Linked DNA regions of Caenorhabditis elegans. The protein of the gene in region 1 interacts with the protein of each later gene in a pairwise test. Each region holds a gene or a part of one and is shown in the gene's direction. Other genes may lie near its edges.

The links.
Region 2: the proteins of Y39G10AR.15 (region 1) and pas-6 interact in a two-hybrid assay, tested with the Caenorhabditis elegans proteins (one large-scale study listed by BioGRID).

What each region holds. Positions count from the first base shown.
Region 1 is NC_003279.8:2,322,290-2,329,435, reverse strand, and holds Y39G10AR.15 (DUF5523 domain-containing protein), read left to right. Parts: upstream 1-2,106; 5' UTR 2,107-2,183; coding exon 2,184-2,239; intron 2,240-2,290; coding exon 2,291-2,585; intron 2,586-2,850; coding exon 2,851-3,210; intron 3,211-3,253; coding exon 3,254-3,579; intron 3,580-3,632; coding exon 3,633-4,101; intron 4,102-4,973; coding exon 4,974-5,113; intron 5,114-5,167; coding exon 5,168-5,354; 3' UTR 5,355-5,444; downstream 5,445-7,146. Other genes in the region: srbc-64 (Serpentine Receptor, class BC (Class B-like)), read right to left, coding at 45-502, 1,270-1,447; Y39G10AR.32 (Biogenesis of lysosome-related organelles complex 1 subunit 3), read left to right, coding at 6,885-6,988, 7,031-7,146.
Region 2 is NC_003283.11:5,582,035-5,587,399, reverse strand, and holds pas-6 (Proteasome subunit alpha type-1), read left to right. Parts: upstream 1-3,056; 5' UTR 3,057-3,065; coding exon 3,066-3,215; intron 3,216-3,261; coding exon 3,262-3,454; intron 3,455-3,503; coding exon 3,504-3,574; intron 3,575-3,623; coding exon 3,624-3,753; intron 3,754-3,803; coding exon 3,804-4,042; 3' UTR 4,043-4,239; downstream 4,240-5,365. Other genes in the region: CD4.11 (MAM domain-containing protein), read right to left, coding at 904-1,009, 1,426-1,508, 1,556-1,847, 2,173-2,218. UniProt on the Caenorhabditis elegans protein: The proteasome is a multicatalytic proteinase complex which is characterized by its ability to cleave peptides with Arg, Phe, Tyr, Leu, and Glu adjacent to the leaving group at neutral or slightly basic pH.

The sequences.
Region 1 (7,146 bases):
TGAGGCATGGAAGAGTTTTTTGCAATTTCTAGGCCACCACTCACCCTGGACAGGTTCTGATTCCTTTGCGACGCCACAAAATTATTCCAGATCACCAGCCGAAATAGCAGAATTACAGAAAAAGTACCGGTTAGAATATATTGAATTTGGTCTCTTGAGACCCAATAACTATAGAAACAAGTTTTAATAACGCAGTTAAAATTGTCACACTCCAAAGGAACATCTACCGTATACCTACAGTAACCGAATAGGATCAGATGATCGGACGCTCCAAAACAGGAAACTGAGATGATTATTGCTGATAACGAGATTTTGAAGCGATGATTGTGATAAGAAATTGGAAAAAATAAGGCGATAACTCGATCTAAAGTTATGAGAAATACCAATGTCGCACGAATACATCCAAGTGGAATTGTTGGCCAAATCAGATAAAATGATAGATTTTTAACGACAAATCCCGGGAATATCTGGCGAATTATGTAGTAGATCTTGTTATGGGGAACTGGAAAAAAAAGTATTTGGGAATCCGCCAAAAAAATTGGTGGCTGAGGTTTCCCTTTTGCGGCCACTCAGCAAAATTCAATTTTTAGTTAGAGGGTTTTTTGATGCAAAGGGGCTTAGGCTTAGGCTTAGGCTTCGGCTTAGGCTAAGGCTAAGGTTGAGGCATAGGCATAGGCTTAGGCTGAGGCTCAGGCTTAGGCAGGTATATTGTTTGAGTAGAGTTTTCAAAAAAGACATAAATTTGTAATTTTTGAAGTTTTTTTTTTCTAAAAATACATACATTTTTTGGTATTTTTTTAAGACTTTTGGTGTTTTTAAATGTCCAAAAAAACTGGTTGAGGAATGAAAAAAAAATTTTGCAGACACACTTGGATGGTCCGAGAAGAGTACAAAATCCAAATGAAAATCGGTGGCCTAATTTTCTATTCCTTTTTTCTGCAACATACCGCCTATCCAAAATGACACGTGGGAGCAGGCTGTCCCATTACGGTTTGATCTACAAAAAATGCGGGAATTTTTTGTCCAAAAAAATGTGACGTCAGCACTTTCTTAACCATGCAAAATAAGTTGAGAACTCTGCGTCTCTTTTCCCCCATTTTTTGTAGATCTAATTGTAAAGTAAGTAGATCAAACTGAAATGAGACACTCTGACATCATGCGAAACGACTGATTTTTCAAAAAAAAAAACCGCATATTATTTTGGTGGCCGAATTTTCTATTTTTCACGGCCACCTAGCTCTAATAGAGCGTATTTTCAAAAAAACCCACCGAAAAACGTGTAAAACATGTCGAAAGCAAATCGAGTATATATCAATGATAATTCAGATTTCCATGCGATCCGTTTCGAGTAGAAAATCGAGAATAAAAGGTAGAAATTCAAAATACAAGTGGTTTGGGAAAATACGACAGACAAAAAATTGTTCAAGATTATTACTATTTCAGGCATTTTTCAGACTGTGACAAGAAAACTGAAATATCAAAAAAAAAAGGGGTAATGAGGGCTCTTTTTCATACTTCGATGAGCATCAGTGCGGACGTACGTCATGAAAAAAGCATCGAGTAAAATATTGAGCTTTGGCTTAAAGAAGTAGTACAGAAAAAGTTTTTGCGACAAAGTTCTGAAAAAAGGCTTATTTTCAGCTAAAATCACAATTTTTGTCCAGAACTTGTCCATAGTGTTTTTTCGATCTTGAATGAATAAATTTTAAATTGGCTAAAACTGGTTATATTTACTTTATACATATATTTATATATTCAATCAAAACATATGACATTAGAGGTAACCAGATACATATCTATTTTATTTTATTTTATTTCATTAGTCAATTTTTGGAATTTCGAAAAAATCTTGTTTTAGAGATATTCTGAAATATGCTGAACATAAATAATTGTGACTTAAAAAACAATAATTTTTTATTAAGTATTTAAGAGATAAATACTTTATTCCAAATTTAACAAGAACCGTTTACAACAAAAAAATTAAATACATATAAAGAGATTACATTTTAATTTTTTTTTTTAATTACGTGATGTCATACACGTATTTCTCATCTTTTTCCGTAATCTTATATTTTTCGAAATGTCATCATCACTCCAAAAGTCGATATTTATTTCTATTTTACAATACCGAAGAAGTGGCATTTCTACGGTCTCTTACTAATAAATAGTAGACTCAACAAATCATGGAGCCAGATCTTAAAAATGTGAAAAACGCCGGCAGTGGAGAATCGAATAAGGAGTAAGTGAAAAAAATTATTTTCGAAAGCTAACCTTAATTCTTTATTTTCAGAGAAAAGAAGAAAATAAAGGCGAGTAGAGAGTCCGGGGAAAAAGTAAAGACTATCACAGAAGAAGATCCAAATAGCAAGAAAATGGAGCTCCCGCCGACTCTCATGCCAAAATTCCCGTCCGAGAAGATCCGCAAACAACATAAGTCCCCTCCGCCGAAAGGGACGCTGGCATATGAGGAATATGATCCGGAGGAGGAGGAAAGGATTGATCTTATCTGGGATATGTCGTTAGAAGAAGTTTGTGAAAGTGAAGAACATTCACAATATGACGATTGGCTGGGCCCGACGAGTTTGGTGAGTGGGACCATATACTAAGAGAGATGGAATCTGTGGTATGTTTGTACCTTAGAATGTTCGGGGGGAAGACTATACACTTGATTGGGAATGCGTATCGGCTGGAAATTTTCTATCTGGCATCATATCCGAAGTAATGCAATTCAGAACGCGATCGGGATGCACCTGACCCAGTTAATGATGCTTTATCTGATAGCGTCTTGTTAAGTGGTCTGGGGATACTTTTCACTCCTAGGGAGTTCACCATAACTTCGTTATTTTTCAGGACGACCAAAATTCTAAGTTGGAAAGGCCCAAGCTGGAACCGGAGCAGCCCGAAAAACTGGAGAGACCACTAGCTAGACCACAGCCACCACCACCAGCAATACCAGTTGTCAAGAAAATTAGCAAACAAAACACCAAGGATAAGAAAAGTGGTCGGATCACCGATCGGAAGATCCATAAGAAGAAGGACGCGGCGACGCAGGATGATAACAAGAAATCACCGGAAGACAAGAAGAAGGTTGTGGGGACGAAGAAGGGATCGACGGAGGATGCGAGCTCGGATAACCTGTACAACGGGAAAGTGCCAAGTGGGCGGAAATCGAAACTGCAGAAGAAGTCGACTTCACAGCAGCCTGTGCAGGTGGGGTTTAGCAATCAAACCACTAGTAATATCTCATTTTTAGAAAACAACACGTTCTCATCCATCAGTATATTTGCAACCGACTCTTGCAAGAACGGATCGTTCCCTCAAACTGCCCCCAGCCGATCAGAAGTCCGTCGACGAACGACCGAGAAAGGCTACCACGAAAATTGTCCAGCCACAGCAGCCTTGTAGAGGAGGACCCGGGCAGCTGCAGAAGCATCCTTCGAAAGTTGTTCAGCAACCGGGTGCTCCAGGAGCGACACCCGTAGCATCGAAGCCGAATCAACGGGAGCAAGCGGAGGGATTGTTCAAGAAGATCTACAAAAAGAAGAATTCTCGAGCAGTTTCGGATTGTACTGTTGAGCGGTGAGTTTTTCCTGGATGCCTGTTATATATTTAAAAAAATATATTCTTTGCAGAATGAAAGAAATCCTTACCAAATCCTATGTCCTGCCGGAATACAATCCGAACGACCCGATCGATTTCAGTCCGGATCTGCCGAAAAAGTTGTTTGACGAGGAGACGTGGAAGTTGCGTATGAGCAACAAGGGAGCCATCCGGAACGACGTGTTCCTCAATAACCGCCCGTTTTGGCTAGCCCGTGACGGCACAGAGCAGGTCCCGAGAGTTCTAATCCAGATGCACCGCCCGTTGAAACAAATGCACAGCGGAAATCCGGCGTCGATTCAACCGAAACTTCATCGAACCGATCCGTTTTTGGATCCGAAGGAGGACGCGTTGGAGAGACTGAAGATAGTTGATAAGGCGATCGGAGTGGATCCGCTGGAAAAGGAAAAGGAAATGAAGAGACTTTGTGCGAACACGTTTCATGGGACGCTGATGTTTGAGGTTGATCAGCGTCAATACGACACTGAACAGCAGAAGAAGGTAAGGGGATTGGGTCCTGGCACGAGCAAAGCTTTCGAGCTACAGTATCCGCTTTATGCTGTTGGAAAAATATTAACCGTGTCCACCGTACTCCACGGTACGGTAGCTGATAGAGCGCAGCTGTTTTGCGATTTTTTTGCCAAAAATATCTCGACAAGAATTGTGAGAGCCTTTTTCTTGAAGAAGCATACTTGCTGGAAAAAAATTATCGATTTTTTGAACATTTGTGTTACGAAAGCGCAAAATTCTGAGAATGCGTATTGAACAACATATCTGACGCGCAATATATCTCGTAGCGAAAACTACAGTAATTCTTTAAATGACTACTGTAGCGCTCTTGTGTTGATTTACGGGATCAATGCGTTTTCATTCAATTCTACGTATTATTTTCTCCTTTTTTGCTTAATTTTAATATTCGATCGATAAAAAATGATTCAATTCGAAAATCGAGTCCGTAAATCGACACAAGAGCTACTTCGCTTCGAGATATTTTGCGCGGCAAAAATGTTGCGCAATACGCATTCTCAAAATTTTGTGCTTCCGTAATATCTGAGAGGTTATCGATTTTTCGAAAAAGCTTTCCGATAAAAACAATAAAACACATAAATTCTTGGGAAAAACAATGAAAAATCGATAAATTCCAAAGAAACAAAATTTTGAAATTACAGTGCTCTTTAAAGGCGCACACCTTTCTGCATTTAAAAAATATTTGTCGCTTCGAGACCGGCTGCCGTATTTTGAGCACTCATTGAGCAAAGATAATATCACGTTTTCAGGAACAATTAATCTAAACTTTTTGTATACACTATAAAAATTATCAATAGAGCGCAATTACCGGCAAAAGTTTTTCGATGATTGTGTAATAATTCCAGGCAGAAGCAGAAGGATTGAAGCTGGACCCAAAACGGTCAAAGCCTAATGTAAAGGAAAAGGATCAGAAGTCGCCGTTTGAGGAGCCGAGAAAAGTCGCTTTCAATGTTTCAGACAAGTGTACGTTGCACGTATATTCTAGGTACTAGATATTTTTTAAATTGAATTTTCAAAATTAAAATTTGAATTGTTCCAGAAAACGCCGTCCACTGACGAATCCGGGGAAAAGCGAACGTTTCACGGAGAAGAAATATACGAGGGGTGAGCGGAAGATTAGGAAGAAAGAGCGAAAGCCTGCGGTGCCACAATTGGTACCATCCACGTCATCATCCACCACAACATCTGCTACTTCTTCGTCTTGTAGAGAAACTAATATGCTTTGAACTCTTGCTTTTTCTAATAAATTGTAGTTGTGGAATCGAATAGCAAAACGTTTCCCTAAACTGTTAACTCCAAATGCATTTGCGTCGCGCCTAGGCTCTATCCCATTTGACACCCTCTTCCCCCCAACTTGACCTCCCGGGCTATAGCTGGTCCAATTGGTCATTTTACTTATTTGTCCACACATCTTTTTTATTTACTTTTTTTTCTTTATCTTCCGGTGTAGCTATTTCTTGTGACAAATAAACAATTATTAATTATTGTATGCTAATTGGCTAATACATCGAATTTTACGCGCAAATTTTGATATTTTCACAAATTTCTACAGTAGTCACATTTTTAAATTCGATTTATCTCGAAAACGGCTCAATTTTCACGGATTTCTGGCTTTCCTCATAAATTGAACTGGAAGAGTTTTTGCCGAAGTAGGCCATTTTGGCACGGCCATATCTGTGGTAGATTTACGGCGCGTTGCGTGTCGCGTCGCGGCTCGATTTTAGTTGTAAAACTAAATGTACTTGTCCGTGTGGAGTGCACGACTTTCCCAGTCCCGCTGGCGATTGTCAATGGAGCGCGAAAAATGCAATGAGGAAGGACAGAACCCCGTGTCAAATTTTGAACGGCAAAAATTTGTTTTAAATGAAATTTCCCTAAATCACTTAATTTTGCATTGAAAGTAGTATGGGGGCACAAAATTCTGCGAATGCGTAATTCGCAACATATTTGACGCACAAAATATCTCGTAGCGAAAACTACAGTAATTCTTTAAATGACTACTGTAACACGGGTGTCGATTTACGAGAATCATCTTTAATCGATAAAATATTAAAAGAAAACACAAAAATGACAAAATAGTTTGATATCGCTGTCACATTTCGAATATATATTCGTTTTGAAAATCCAGCCCGTAAATCGACCTACAGTAAATAGTCATTAAAAGAATTACTGTACTTTTCGCTACGAGATATTTTGCGCGTCAAATATGTTGTGCAATACGCATTTTCCGAGTTCAGTATTCCCGTAATAATTAGCTAATAAATCTTCTTTACGATACCCTCAAAATAATAAAACTGCGTGGCGTGTACTGCAGAAAACCTAATATTTAGGCGCCGCCTTTTTCTCGTCCACTCACGGAGAAAAGGCAAAAATTCGGGGACCAACCAATATCAGGCCGCCGACATCCTACGTGTTCCGCGCGCCGCTATGTTTAACTCGCAGCGGGCGGAGACAGCTTGCCGCGCCCACAACGAGTTAAACATAGCGGTGCGCGGAACCCGTAGGATGTCGGCGACCGGATATTGGTTGGTCCCCGAATTTTGCCTTTTCCCCGTGAGTGGACGATAAAAAGGCGGGGCCTAAATATTAGGTTTTCTGCAGTACACGCCACGCAGTTTTATTATTTTGAGTGTAAGATACGCTGGCTCTTTTCGTTTTCTCTCTCTCTGCGTCTTCTCACTTTTTTATTGCTCTTTTTCTTTACATTCTATCGAATTTCAAAAATTACATTTATATTTTCAGATTTTCATTTAAAAATGTCTTCAATGGCTTTTGACGGAGAAGCACCGGAGACTGACGATGAAATTGAAGAGGAAAATTATGGAAAATCTGAACAACAAGAGAAAATCACGATTAAAGAGTAATTTTTCCTTGTTTTTTCCTAATTTTTCATAATTTTCAGGCAAATTCCGGTCGACAAGAAGCTTGAGAAGCATTGGACGCTCGCCGCAACGGAATTAATCAATAGTTGTTACAAGAGATCCGCGAATCAGGAGAAAACGATGCAAAAAGTGACGG
Region 2 (5,365 bases), on another chromosome or scaffold:
TCGATGGGAAGGGGTTGTATTCTGTTAGGAACACGGGTTTGGCATCACAAGGACACCGGGCTCTCCTGCAAGCAGAAGAATTAATCTGGTAACCCATCAACTCCGGACCGATGTGAGAGAATGAAGAATTGGCGTTGCTTATATACCCGCTCACGGCCGAGTGGCAGACATGTTCATGTGAAATGCAGAGAGACAGCTAGCGATTGCAATTGTGACAAATTTCGTAACAAGAAAAAATATCTTACTTTCACCCGAACATGTTTGCCGCTCGGCCGTGAACGGGTATATAAACAACTGCGATTCTCCATTCTCTCACATCGGTCCGGAGTTGATGGGTTACCCAGTCATTCTTCTGCTTGCAGGAGAGCCCGGTGTCCTTGTGATGCCAAACCCGTGTTCCTAACAGAATACAAACCCTTCCCATCGACACCAACTTGACCGTTGTTTTTGGTTTTTTGAAACGAGAATTCAATAAGGATTTAAAATTGGTTTCTGTTAGTTTTTTTTTGGAAAATCTAGTTAAAAGTTAACCCTTTCATGATATGAACACTTTATCACTGTTTTTCTGTTTTTCAGAATGAATCTTGCAAGGGTCAAAAGCTAAATTGGATATGCAATCTCGGTTAAAAAACCATAAAGTTTCCGATTTATCGGTTTCAAAAAATAATTTTTATTGAAAAAAGTATGGTATCCGTGATGAAACTTACCAAATGTAGATACATAAATTTCAAAGTTTTGTTTTCTAATGAGAATATAATAGGGATTAAAAATCGAAAAACTAGAATCCTATTTCTTATTTGCTTTTTCAGATGAATTAGTTAAAAGTTAACTTTATCAAGATTAAATTAAATTAAATTAAAAGATCCGAGATTTTACAACGTAGCTGTGAACTCGAAGACCTACTCGAATTTCACTTCAGCATCTCCATATTGACATGGAATTTCCATTTCAATTGCAGCAGTCTGTGGAAGAATCATTGGTTCGCCGCCAGCCAGTAGAAAATTGTTGTCTGAATTGTTATGATTAGTTGAAATCAACTGGTACTTTTACCCAATTAAAAAGTTAATAATAAATTTTTTTTTTAATGTTTAAATGATTTTTTGAAAATAGGAAAATGAGCCAATTAAAAATACTCCTATTCAAACATTGTAGGGGTTCGGACATGCGACAGCGATATAGTTTTCTCAAAAAGTGGCAAAATCTAAGTGATTGCCACTTTTTGCATGTCAATGAAAAAATCTAAAAAATTTTTTGGAACGTTTTACTATGATATTTGGCCATTTTGGCATCATATGAGCGTTAGGATTTTTTTTAAATACAGAATTTTCAAACTAACATCAACCAAAACTTTTGCTGAAATTTTCAAATTTTTCAATCTTTTTGGAATGTTTCAATTGATTTTTAGAAACAATTTGTTCCTCTTACCTGGTGTGAAACTCAATGGACTTCCAGAGTCAAATCTTTGCGAGTCAAAATTATTATCTGAGTTTAACTTTGATTTCCAGAATCTAAAAATAGTAATTTTTGAAATTCTATTAAAATTGAAAAAAAAAACTTCATGTCAGTGTCCGCTGCATTATGCCATCCACAATATTCCATATCATCGTCAAAATGACATGTAAGCTTTCCACCGTCGGATACAGTTAGCATTGGTTTCACAGGAAATGGGGTAAGAGATGAGATCGAACGAATTTCAGTTGCGGAGTACGGTAGATTTGATGTGAGGTAGTCAAAGTCAATTGCATTTTCACTTGTACGTTGTAGGGATGAGACTCCGCGAGCTCTGGCTCTTCGAGATGAAAATTGACTGTACTGAGAGCTCAGGGAGTGACAAGCAAAACTGGTATCTGAATTAATTTGAAGGTCATATCTAGCTAAACTTTTGATTTGAATTACCGCGCTTTTGTCTCTAAACCACACCTATTTTTCTGTGCCGCACTTTGCATTTTTACATTTTAGACGCAAAATGGTTCTAATCCGTGTTCCAATTTTCAATATAGAAAAAGCCCTACAAAATGAGCGATTTTTCTAAAATCCCAAAAATTAAATTTTAAATTTTGAATAACCTCAAGAGCGACCATTAACAAATTTTCATGATTTTTTAAATAAAAAAGGACAGAAAAAATTTGGTAGAAAAAAAGATTTCAAATCCAAAACTTTTTAAAAACTCACTCAAACCATAAAGTAGCAATATCAAGACATATATATTAAGTACCATACTTCATGAAGAAAATAGTTTGAAAACATATAAATTTCGATTTCAAATCGCCTTTCTCAAAGTTCAATGAGCGTGTGGTATTGCGTACTCCCGAGAATGAATATGAACTACTGGTAAATTGCCTAATTAGGTACGGTGTTTCACTGTCGAGAGTCACAAGAGAAAGTGGGTCAGTGGGTAAGAAAAGTGAATGAGAGGAAAGATATTTATTATTCAATAGACATGATTGAAAAATGAAACTAGAGATTTTCAAAGACAGAGCTTTGTAGTATAGCCTTGCCAGATTTAAACAGGAATTTCTAAGATATTGAAGTCAGGGAATCGGCCACCACCATCAGTAGACAACATTTTAAATTTTAAATATTCAATTCCTCAAAAATTAGATTCAAAATTTAATTCGACGTTTTCAATCACGTTTTCGCAATTTTCGTTCAATTTCGTGTAATATTTACTTGTTCACAGTTCTCTTCGTGGATTTTGAGTGTCTTTTTTTCGAAATTATTTTGAGGATCTTACGCAGTTTTCACCAGAAGAATTACATAATTCCATGGAATTCCATGCCTGGAAATTTCTTTCACTTTTTGCCGCCAGGTATACGGTAAGCAATTGCGCGTAAAGTGTGGTGTATGCGTACTCGCTTATTTTGTCATCCTTTCAAATTTAGAACTCATTTCAGAGGTTTTCTTTCGACTTCTAAATATTTTTTCTTTGTTTCTGTGGATTTAAATAAACTCCATATGTTTTTCTAACTCTTGGTTCATCTTGAATCACACTCTCTGCTTATAAAACTGCAAAAAATGGCTAAAAACTTCAATAAATTGTAATTAAGAGCTTTTAGGTTTGAACCATGTTCCGCAACCAATACGACGGCGATGTAACAGTCTGGAGCCCACAGGGACGTCTTCACCAAGTCGAATATGCCGTTGAGGCGATGAAGCAAGGTTCGGCAACTGTTGGAATCAAGAGTGAAACCCACGCTGTCATCGTCGCCCTGAAGGTTGGCGAAACAACATGTTAATTTCAATTAATTATATTCGTTTCAGAGAGCGCAAAACGATTTGTCGTCTCATCAGAAGAAAGTGTACGAAATTGACACTCACGCTGGAGTTTCCATCGCTGGTCTCCTCTCCGATGGTCGCATCTTGGCTCGCTACCTCCAAACCGAGTGCTCGAGTTGGCGTTGGGATTACAAGCAAGCGGTTCCAATCAAGAAGCTCGCTGAATCTATGCAATTGAGTAAGCGAATTTTGGAAGCAATTTTCTCAAGACATTGTTCTTATTTCAGAACTTCAAGCCAATACACAATATTATGGCCGTCGTCCATTCGGAGTTGGAATTCTGATTGCCGGATATGACGTAAGAACATCATAAATATAATTGTTCTTTTAAATATTTTTTTGTTCAGAAAGATGGAGCACACATCATTCAAACTGACCCATCTGCTGAAGTCGTCAGCATGCATGGAACTTCAATCGGAGCAAGATCTCAGTCTGCGCGCACTTACCTCGAGAGAAATGTTGATAACTTCGAGAAATGTATTTATTTCGGAATATAATTGATAAAATTGAGCAATTTCTTTTTTCAGCAACTCCGGAACAATTGATTGTCCATGCTCTCCTTGCTCTTCGCGACACACTTCCAGCCGAAGAAAACCTCAACGCTCAGAATACGTCTATTGGAATTGTCGGGAAAGATTCTCCATTCAGTCTTCTCGAAGATGCTCAAGTCGCCGTTCATCTCAACCAAGTTTCCACACATCCACGCACAACTGGCGGAGCAGCAGCAGCAGCAGCTCCAGGTGGCGCCGAACCAATGCAAATGTAGATTCTAATTTGAATCACAGACCATGTGAATTACTTTCGTCTCCATTTCTTTTTTATGTGACCCGTATAATTTATCGCCGGTTAATCTCCCTCTCGTTCCCGAATTAAATTATTTTCCTGCTCCAAAAGATTGATTACATATTAATTTCCTTTTTCCGTTCAACAGTCATGTATATGTTGCAGAAAGAACATTAAAGGAAGCACTTCTCGTCATTCGCGTCCATGCCTTCTGTCCATTAATGATGGATGTCTGCGCCGTAGTACACCACGCACCCGCCGTCTTCCGCTATTCCCCGGCGAGCTGCTCCACGGCATTATTCCATAGTTCTTCTCTTCAGTGTTCCATACACTACTACATCACTCAAATTGTAAATCAGCGAAGAAAGGGGAGCAAAAGAAGAAGAAGGGGAGGAGTGTGTGTGATGCAAGAGAGAAGAGTTTCAAATTTCGTCGAATTGAGATTGAAATCTTCTTTGTCGCAGTCAACTCTTTTCTTCGACCCACTTCTGCCTTTTTTTGTTTTTCGATTGGAGCTCTTGACAATTTTTATACATTTTTCTTCATTTAAAAATCCACAAATAGGTAAAAAAGGGAAGTAGGATTTACGGATCTACTGGAAGTTGTTTTTCTAACAAGCGGTTTTGCTTATTATGATCACGAGCAAAACCAAAAATGTTTCCCAAGCGAACCACAATCAATGCCCGACACCATTGTGTGTGCCGCTTCTGAATGAACTGAATAGAATTCTCTCGTTTCTTCCACCAATTCTTCTTTCATTCCTTGTGCCATTTGTCTGACAAGCGAAGAGAGAAAAGAAGAGCGCCCTTAAATGAATTTGTATCGAGCCAATGGCATCGGAGGGCCATGCGGCTCTGTGTGGCGTGCGTTTCCTCACTTCAAGCACTGCCGCCACCAGCACCAGCACACAATGTTCTTTTCGGCAGGAGGCGAGGTCTATTCAGCACTTTTTCTTCACTTTTAGACCAAGTTTTCGAACACTTTTGCACCGAGTGCACACATTGATTCGTGGAAATGATTTTTTTATCCTTGAAATTGTTTTTCTGAAGAAAATATATCCTGTAAATTTAAAAGTTCAAGTGTTTATTTAAAAATAGTCAATTTAATTTTGGAAAATAAATTTTTTTTAACTGCAAATAAGCTTGTTCGGTCGACTTATAGGCTGATTTACTCATAAAAATTTCAATTCAATGGAAAATATTATTCATTTTTACTTAGACGTCTAAAAAAATACATTTTATTTTTCTTTTATTATATTTAAATTTATTCAAAACATGGTGCAATAGAAGCACGAGCTACAGTAAGT